3 linked regions of the Danio rerio genome follow. The protein of the gene in region 2 interacts with the protein of the main gene of each other region in a pairwise test. Links are inferred from orthologs where the notes say so. Each region holds a gene or a part of one and is shown on either strand. Other genes may lie near its edges. The genes, in order: hyi, tex11 and cdkn1a.

Region 1 (2,858 bases), on a different chromosome or scaffold from region 2:
TAAAAGCATTTTGTAGACAAGCAAAAAAAAAAACGATGGTCTTATTCTTAATATAACAAAATAATTGCATTTATTTTTTGTTAATATAGGCTGGAATACTAAAACAAACAATAAACATGATAAAATATAGTAAAAAAGCACAACAAAAATCAAACCTGAGCCTGTTTTTACTCAAAAATGTATTGTTTTTCTCTAATTTGTATTCAAGTTCGAAACTAAAATAACCAAAGACAGTTAAACAAAACTTGAAATAAACACAGAACATCGACAAAATATTACTACAAAATGTTCAACAAAAATACAAACTTAGAATGTTAATATTGTAAATATAGGAAATATTTTGACATTTTTATTTTATTTTGTAGAAATTTAAACAGAAATGTTTTATTATTTTATTGTTGTGGTGTTTGTGCATATGTGTATATATGTGTGTATATATGTGTGTGTGTGTGTGTATATATATATATATATATATATATATATATATATATATATATATATATATATATATATATATATATATATATATATATATATATACCCACACACACACTAAAATAAACTTTCTTTATTCAGTTTTCTACAAAATAAAGTAAAAATGCCAAATCGCTACTACTAAAATTCATCAAAATAATACTTTTGAATGTTAAAAATTATTAATAGTAAAGATGTTGAAATATAACGTCTGTTAGGTTGAGACAGACTGCAGCAGGATTATGTATTACCGCAGTAACGGTGAGGTTTACCTGTCATTGGTAAGTATCTCCGTATATTGTGAGTTAAGTTTCCATCCATGATCTGCCAGTGGAAGATGTCCTACAACAGCAGAAGCAGACAAGAACAGTCAGTGTATGGAGAGTCTGAGGTGTGTTTTCTGCAGATGGATGGATGGATGGATAGATAGATGGAAGGATGGATAGATAGATAGATAGATAGATAGATAGATAGATAGATAGATAGATAGATAGATAGATAGATAGATAGATAGATAGATAGATAGATAGATAGATAGATAGATAGATAGATAGATAGATAGATAGATAGATAGATAGATAGATAGATAGATGGATAGATAGATGGATGGATGGATGGATGTGGATGGAAGGATAGATAGATAGATAGATGGATGGATGGATGGATGGATGGATGGATGGAAGGATAGATAGATAGATAGATCGATAGATAGATAGATAGATAGATAGATAGATGGATGGATGGATGGATGGATGGATGGATGGATGGATGGATGGAAGGATGGATGGATGGATGGATGGATGGATGGATGGAAGGATAGATGGATGGATGGATGGAAGGATAGATGGATGGATGGATGGATGGATGGATGGATGGATGGATGGATGGATGGATGGATGGAAGGATAGATAGATAGATGGATGGATGGATGGATGGATGGATGGATGGAAGGATGGAAGGATAGATAGATAGATGGATGGATGGATGGAACAATAGATAGACAGACAGACAGACTAATATATGAGAAATATGAGAAAACTAACCATCTGCATCTTGATGCTGGGATGATCCACTCTCTGCAGAATCTCAGCAGCTACACACCAACACAATAAAACATCAGTAAATGATCCAGAATCAGAAAACACACACTCAATGTTCAGTGTGAGAGAGTGCTGACCCTGATGTGGAGAGTGCAGGAAATATCGTGGGTCTGTGATCCTGCTGTTGATCGGCTCAATCAGACCAAGCAGACCTTCCTGAAGAGCAAAGACAAACTGTTTTTGGGCGATGAAGACAATTTTTGATCGTTTTTTTTTTTTTTTTTTGCAAAATATGTGACCTACAGGTACTAAAAGTTAGGTGTAAGTAAAAGAGTTTTTAGTGATTATTGATCAAATTAGCAGCATTGAAGAGTTATATAGTATAGTATCGTTTTAAAAGCTCTCAAATTCAGCCTTACACTAAATTACAGCATCAAAACCATCCAGCCAAACCACGGTATTAAATGTAGAGACCCGGTGGAGAGTTACAACATCACGAAATCAAAAACAAAACAAATGTTTCAAGCACTGTAGGAGTATTTCAGTAAGCATTGGAGGAAGACTACAATGATATTTATATATACTCATTTATGTTATATATTATTTTATGCTGTAAATAATAATAAATAAATAATTTTTAAAAATATGTAAGACCTAAGAACACAAGACTGCAGTCAATTAAAATTTGGACTTTGAACTTTTGATTTCAAATTTTTTAATTTAATTTTTATTTATTTTTTTAGTTTTTTTATTCTTAAATAAAGATTTGGAATTCTAAAACTTTGATTTAGAATTCTAAAATTGTGATTTTTAGTTGTAAATTTAGATTTGGAATTCTAATATTTTGATTTGGAATTCAACATTGTTAATTTAGAATTAAAAAACTTTGATTAATATTTCTAAAATTTAAATTTGGAATTAAATTTAGATTTAGAATTTAAAAAAAAATTTTTTTGTAAATTTAGATTTGGAATTCTAATATTTTGAATTGGAATTCAACAATGTTAATTTAGAATTCAAAACTTAAAATTAGAATTCAAAAACTTTGATTATTAACTCTAAAATTTAGATTTGGAAATCTCAAAAAATATATATATTTTTGTAACTTTAGAATTTGGAATTCTAAATTTTTTTTTTTTTTTTGTAAATTTAAATTTGGAATTTTACAATTTTGATTTTTAATTGTAGATTTTGAATTGGATTTCTAATGACTTAGATTTGGATTCTATAATTTTGATTTAGAAATTTTAAGGGGGTCAAAGGTCACCTTGTCTAGCACACCTGCTGCATGCTTCAGATTGTGCACAAACGTATCCTCCATCTGCAGGGCAAGAGCGCAGCGTT
Region 2 (3,667 bases):
AGGGTGAAGTCTGCCAGGAACAAGTTTAGACAGGTGAGGTGTGGCGTTTGGGATTGTGGCAGTGAAATGTGTCACCTTGTGCCGAGTGTTCAAATGGCTGTACAGCGAGAGGCACATACCTGAGTTTGATAGCTGTCCTGCAGAGAGCCCAGATACCTCAAGAAGCTCATTCCCAGCCCACACCACCTCTCTGCTTCAGGGTATTGGGCCAGACTGTAGAGCAGGATTCCTGTATTCCACGCTCGGGTCAGCAGCCACAGGATCTCCAACTCCGGAAAGTCCTCGGTCTGTGATAGAAAAGAGATATGATGGAGGAATGGTTTGGTCTAAACGCTGTAATTATAGCTGCAGAATTATAGAATGCTATTCAATATCAATGGTGTCTTGAAGGTCATGAATTGAGAATAGCAGCCTGATGCTTATGCAAGTTTTCTGCAACGCTAGTCCAAGATAAAAGATACAGGCGAGATCTTCAAATTAGCATCCAAATTGGCAGGAAGAGGCTGGTGAATGGAGCATCTGCTAACTGAGGCATAACTAAAAGCCCATTGACAGAAACAGGAGATTCTTTCAAAGATGGGGATAATTGCGGGGCTGAGCTGCAGCGGGTCGTGTGTGATGCCTGCTGAGTCACCGTAACCAACTCACTGCAGTTGCTATGAGGGAAAGAGCTTCCTCATAGTAGCCCCACACTTCCTCCAACACGCAAGGCTGAACCTCGGACACACCGTTCGGCAGGCTCAGCTGAATCAGGCTGTGTAAACAGTTACTAACACATACACACACACACACATGAGTATAAGGTGTGTGTCACATGAGAAACAGTTTAATGTCTTTTGTTATGTGTCATTGTGTAAGTAGCAAACACTGAGCTCGTCTGACCTGCAGCGCATGAGGTCCACCTGTGGTTGTTTTCTGTGCAGAGACAGAGCGATCTTCAGTGCTTTCTTACAAAGTACCGGGTAATGGGCTGGTGGTTCCATTGCCAGCACTGTAGACACAAAGAACAGAACTATCAGATCAGATCCAGCCGTTTTGTACAATAGGGGTTCCCAAAGTTTTTAGCTCACAACCCTTAAAATTACAATGCCAGTGACTTGTGACCCCCAGTATCCTCTGAGGTGGTTTAAATATGCTGTATAAATCGTACACACTGGCCCACACATACCAATAGGTCCAAATCTAATCATCATTTAATTTTGGAGAACGCCACTTGGAGACAATCCTCCATGTTCATTTGTGGCTTGTGTTTATTTTTAATGTACGTGAGTGCTGTAAAGGTGTCAGAAGGTTTAATCTGGTGCCATAAAATCAATGTGCTGTGTGTTTAATATAACATAATCCCCCCAGGGGTGGCAGAAATGAAACGCTGATGGATTTGTATTTGCATTTTTAAAAAAAATTTTTTTAGGAGTTTTAAACTTTAATGGATAGAATTGTACAGAGAATCAACTGTATGATTAATTAAAAATAACTATAAACATTGATTTATATTAACTAATAAAATATAGATTTTTTAATTGTGTAATGAACTTATAACAATACTCAAGCTGCACCTGTTTTTGCCTCGATTTGCTCACCAATGTCTTCTGCATTGTCCTGTATCTGAGGAGTGTCAGTTTTTATATTTTTAAATCTGATTCAGTCACAGCACTTCATTTCAGTTTGCTTTTTTGTAGCTTAGCAATAAAAACAAACAAAAAAAGCTTACATTAAATTAGAAACGAGGATCTCTGTAAAAGACTCCAGCCCTGCCCATCATTCTTACTCTCTTCTCAGATGGGATGGTGGGCCAAATCACAGGTTATCATGGGCCAATTTTGGCCCGCAGGCCCTAGTTTGGGCATCTCTAGTCTAAAGACATGCGCTACAGGTGAATTGGGTGAATAAAATTTGTCGTAATTTATGAGTGCGTGTGTGAATGTGAGAATGTATGGAGGTTTCCCAGTACTGTGTTCCTGCTGTTTAAAACATATGCTGGAATAGTTGGTTGTTCATTCTATTTTGACTACCTCTGATAAATCAAAGACTAAGCTGAAAGAAAATAAATGAATTAAAGTATGATTTAAAACAAAAACAACTCCAAACTTTTGAATAGTAGAGTATATCCATACACAGAGCCAATAGTTGATTATCCATTAGAGCATAGGTCTCAAAATCCTGGAGGTCTCAAAATCCTGGAGGGCCACAGCTCTGCAGTTTTGCTCCAACCCTAATCAAACACAGCTGATCCAAATAATCAAGGTGTTCAAGACTACTAGAGAATGTTCAGCTGGTGTGATTTTGAGGTGGTTGGAACTAAACTATGCAGAGCTGCGGCCCTCTAGGAATTAAATTTGAGACCACTGCATTAGAGGGTTATGTCTTGAGAAGCTGACCTGCGATCACTTCTAACAGCTTGGTCTCGATGTTATCCAGCTCCAAAACTGATTCAAGCACAGTCTCCAGTTTTGGATCATTTAATTTGGCCCGAGCCTCAAACTCATAGAGCAGCAATAATGAGTCTGTTTTGTCTTGAGAAGAAATGCCTAATGAAGAAACAACATGTAAAAAAAGTGATTATGGTCCTTGTTAATTTGGAGAAACAGGTAGAAGTTAATTCTGCCTACGTAAAATAATTGAAGCAGGAAATGCACCTGATGTTTTGATGGTGGTCCAGATCTCTTTACAGAGTTGAATGTTTTCTAGAGTCTGGGTCAGCAGCTCAGTCTGAAAGTAAAGGAGATGTTTTAAACTGCGCCCTCTGCTGGTTAACTGCATGAATGGTGAAAACTGAAATGGGAGAGAGTTTATCCCATACAGGGATAGTTACAACACATCCTCAACTGAACACAAAGTAAGATATACTGAAGAATGTTGGGAAAAAACAGCCATTGACTCCCATATTAATTGTGTTCCAGATATGGATGTGAATGGCTGATTTTTTCCACAACATTCTTCAGTATATTTTGTTTAAAAAGAAGAAAGTAAGGCGACACGATGGCTCAGTGGTTAGAACTGTCGTCTCACAGCAAGAAGGTCGCTGGTTTGAGTCCCTGCTAGGTCAGTTGGGATTTCTGTGTGGAGTTTGCACATTCTCCCTGTGTTGGCATGGGTTAGCTCCGTTTGCTCCAGTTTCCCCCACAGTACAAAGACAACCACTACAGGTAAATTGGGTGAACTAAATTGTTCTTAATACTTAGTGTGTGACTAAGCCGAAGGTAAATTAATGAATGGATAAAGAAGAAAGTAATCCATAAACCTTTTATTTCTATTATTTTTTTATTGTTAAGCCCATAAACAGTGTATACAATTTATACATACATCAACAAATAGGCAGATCATCTTTAACAATGAAAAGTAATCCATAAACATTTAGGAGCATGATTTATTTTTGACTAAAAGGTCTCCAACTATCAAACCCAATTTTATTGTTTCATTTATTCAAATATTTTCTTTCTGGCTTAGTCCCTTTATTAATCTGGGGTTGCCACAGCGGAATGAACCGCCAACTTATCCATCACATATTTTATGCAACGGATGCCCTTCCAGCTGCAACTCATCACTGGGAAATACACCCATTCACTCTCATTCAGTCATACAGTACGGACAATTTAGCTTACCCAATTCACCTACAGCGCATGTATTTGGACTGTGGGGGAAACCGGAACACCCTGAGGAAACCCAC
Region 3 (3,100 bases), on a different chromosome or scaffold from region 2:
GACTAGGCGGAGTCTTTTCGGGCCGGTGGACCGCGAGCAGCTGCAGCGTGAGTACCGGGCGGCGCTACGGCGCGATCTGGAGGACGCATCGCGACGCTGGAGCTTCGACTTTGCGTCTGAGAAACCACTAGAGGGCGGAGACTTCCACTGGGAGGGCGTGTCCGGCGTGCGCGTGCCACTACTGTACCGCGCGTGTCAGGAAAAGCAGCAGAAACGGCCCTGTGAGGCTCATCAGCCCGGACAGTCCGCCGCTGGAAAGGAAAACATCCCGAAAACACCAGAACGATGTGCTGCACTCCCGCATGAAGTGGAGAAAACCCCAGAGAAGAGCAGCGAGCTGAAGCGCAAACAGACCAACATCACAGGTCAGACCTCTTTATTATTATTATTTAGTATTGTTATTATTTATGTATATAGCTATGTTTGTTTGTTGATTATTTTTTTAAATAACAAAAATTAAAGAAAGATAAATAAATAAATGTCGTAGTGTTTCTATAATGCAACTCTCTGATGATCTGCTTTTATGCATTTTTCTATAATACCCTATTAAAAGTGTTGAATTTTTAGATGTAAAGTTTTAAGTTTCTGTTTTTAAATTTTTCATCTAATATTTATATTTTAATGCATTTTTTAAATTGCGTATTTATTTTATATTGTACTTTAATCAACCAAAAACTTCAGCTAACAAACACGACACAGATTGATTTACATTATCGCATATTTGAATTATATACATAATCGCATATTGATAGATATTTTTACATTAATACAAATTTAGAATTAATTTTTTTGTTATAATAATGAACCACTGAGTGTAGTATTATTGTAGTAATATTAAACTGCTTGTATTCTGATGTAAATTTAAAGCGTGAGTTCGACTAATAATAAACAAATAATATCGTCTCTCTGTTCTCAGATTTCTACCAAGCCAAGAAGCGTCTAGTGGCCACGCCGCGCAAATCCGGCCAGTAGCTGAAGGAGACACACACACACACAGATAAACTCTTGACCTGCATCTACCTTCATCTGTCTGGAGCTGCATTCGTCTCGTAGCAGCGTTATTGACAGAAAACGACCTTCAGGAACCAGAGACGACACCGTTTATTCCGTTTTTATTTCAACCGTTTTATGTCAACGGTTAACATTTACAAGTGGAAATGTTCTGGAAAGATCCATTCCTCAGTCTTCCAGAGATTGTCTCTCGACGGGACCACAGAATCATGACAACTGTTTCATTACGAACAATATAAAGCGCTGATTTTTATTTCAGCGTGCACATATTCACATTGCCTTATTGCACAAAACGTAGCTAATGTTTTAAAACTCTAAACATTTGGTGCCAAATGTTGTTTTTTCCTCTTCTTCTATTTATAATTCTAACCCTTTATGTTATTTTACACATAAACCTTCATGAAGCTGCCAGTAAGTTCTCACATCTTTATCGTAATTGAGCTGCAATTACGTTTTTCTACTACATTAAACTTTGTTTAAAAAAAAAACACTTGGCGACGTTCATGAAACACGAGCAGATAGAACTGAGAGAACAAATTCATTCTTGCGTTTATTTTAACGAAAACATTTTTGCACAATTTTTTTTATGCAGTTTTTGTGTTGAAATAAATGTAGGCTTAAAGTTTACGTGCACAAAATGTTGTAAGAATTATGCAAATCTTTTGGAAAACATTTTTTTTTGTTAAATTTGTACAGAATTAGTATAGAAATGCTTTAAGAATAATTATAGCAACAAACTTATTCTACCAAATATATAAGAAATATTGCAATGACAATAAAAAAAGTTAAAAAATAAGAAATAAAAAAAACTGAAAATTAACATGCACATTTTTTTTACAAAGAATTAAATAATTATTTGCGCAATTTATTCGTGAAATTATTTTGTTGCATTAGGTTTAGCGTGAAAATCTAATTGCGTGAAACGTCAATTCGAGAATTAGAATTGACGCAATTTTACGCATTTCAATTTTAATACAACATAGATCAGATTAGACCACAAAAGACTGTTAAAACACAGCATTTTTCGTAACGAATTTGCGCAGAAGTGTGTTCTGCTCTTGCTCCATGAACGCTGACACTACATCATATTTACAAACGCTCTACAAATACATTAAAATAAACTTCATAAGAAGTACGAACACCAGCTTTCATGTGTTTCCTAATCAAGATCTCAGCTCTGTCGGCTTTCTGAAGTTTAGCATTCAGCTCTTTACCAGCTCTAGAACTCTGCTTGTTTTCTGCGACCCGTCTGTAAATATCCTGTTTATTGGATAATTCGCCGTCGATTGAGAATTGCACTTGGGGTTTCTTTTGTTTTGTTTTTATTTTTTGGAGTAGTGTAGCTTGCACAGGTCTGTTATTGTTAAAGAGCTCAAAATATATGCTGTATTTATTTTACAGATTAATATTGTATTGTAGATTTACATGTAATTGTTCTTGTAATAAAGCTGTTTATGATATAAAATTGGTTTCTTGTTACTTTTTTAATTGTCAGAATTCCTTTAGGAAACAGTTCAGAATTGTGAGATGTAAATTTAGATTTTGAAGAATGAAAGTTAGAATTAGGAGAAGTAAAAATTACAAACAAAAAAATATATATTGTGAGATGAAAACCCAGATTTTGTCAGAATTATCAGGTGTGGATTTACAAATCCAAGAAAAAAAAGTCAGTATTCCAACTCAGAATTCAAAGGAATAAAAAGTTGGAATTTTGAAGAGTGAATTGATAATACCAAGAAAAAAGTCAGTATTTCAAGATGCAAACTGGGAATTCCAAGCAAAGATGCCAGAATTGTAAATTTTAAACATAACATCAGAACTAAAAAAAAAGCAGTATTACAAGATGCAAACTTTGAATTCCAAGCAAAAAAATAAAACCGTATTTCAACATGTAAACTAAGCATTCCAAGAAAAAAGTATGAATTCCAAGATGCAAACGAAAAAAATTGGAATTCGAAGAAACAAAGTATTCCAAGATGCAAACTTTGAGTTCCAAGAGAAAAAGTAGGAATTCCAAGAAATGAAGTCAAAAGTTGGAGTTTTGAACTAAAAATTCCAAGAAAAAAGTGAAAATTCCAAGAATCAAACT

The links.
Region 1: the proteins of tex11 (region 2) and hyi interact in binary tests that used the Homo sapiens proteins (3 or more experiments, as listed by UniProt). The two-hybrid records come from large-scale screens. The link is inferred for Danio rerio from reciprocal best matches to the Homo sapiens genes TEX11 and HYI.
Region 3: the proteins of tex11 (region 2) and cdkn1a interact in binary tests that used the Homo sapiens proteins (3 or more experiments, as listed by UniProt). The link is inferred for Danio rerio from reciprocal best matches to the Homo sapiens genes TEX11 and CDKN1A.

What each region holds. Positions count from the first base shown.
Region 1 is NC_133181.1:3,331,024-3,333,881, forward strand, and holds part of hyi (putative hydroxypyruvate isomerase), read right to left. Parts: coding exon 2,782-2,858; intron 1,731-2,781; coding exon 1,652-1,730; intron 1,568-1,651; coding exon 1,518-1,567; intron 817-1,517; coding exon 747-816; intron 1-746. UniProt on the Homo sapiens protein: Catalyzes the reversible isomerization between hydroxypyruvate and 2-hydroxy-3-oxopropanoate (also termed tartronate semialdehyde).
Region 2 is NC_133189.1:37,610,267-37,613,933, reverse strand, and holds part of tex11 (testis-expressed protein 11), read right to left. Parts: intron 2,710-3,667; coding exon 2,637-2,709; intron 2,529-2,636; coding exon 2,379-2,528; intron 992-2,378; coding exon 883-991; intron 770-882; coding exon 649-769; intron 288-648; coding exon 120-287; intron 1-119. UniProt on the Homo sapiens protein: Regulator of crossing-over during meiosis. Involved in initiation and/or maintenance of chromosome synapsis and formation of crossovers.
Region 3 is NC_133197.1:619,891-622,990, reverse strand, and holds the end of cdkn1a (cyclin-dependent kinase inhibitor 1), read left to right. Parts: coding exon 1-365; intron 366-916; coding exon 917-972; 3' UTR 973-2,476; downstream 2,477-3,100. UniProt on the Homo sapiens protein: Plays an important role in controlling cell cycle progression and DNA damage-induced G2 arrest. Involved in p53/TP53 mediated inhibition of cellular proliferation in response to DNA damage.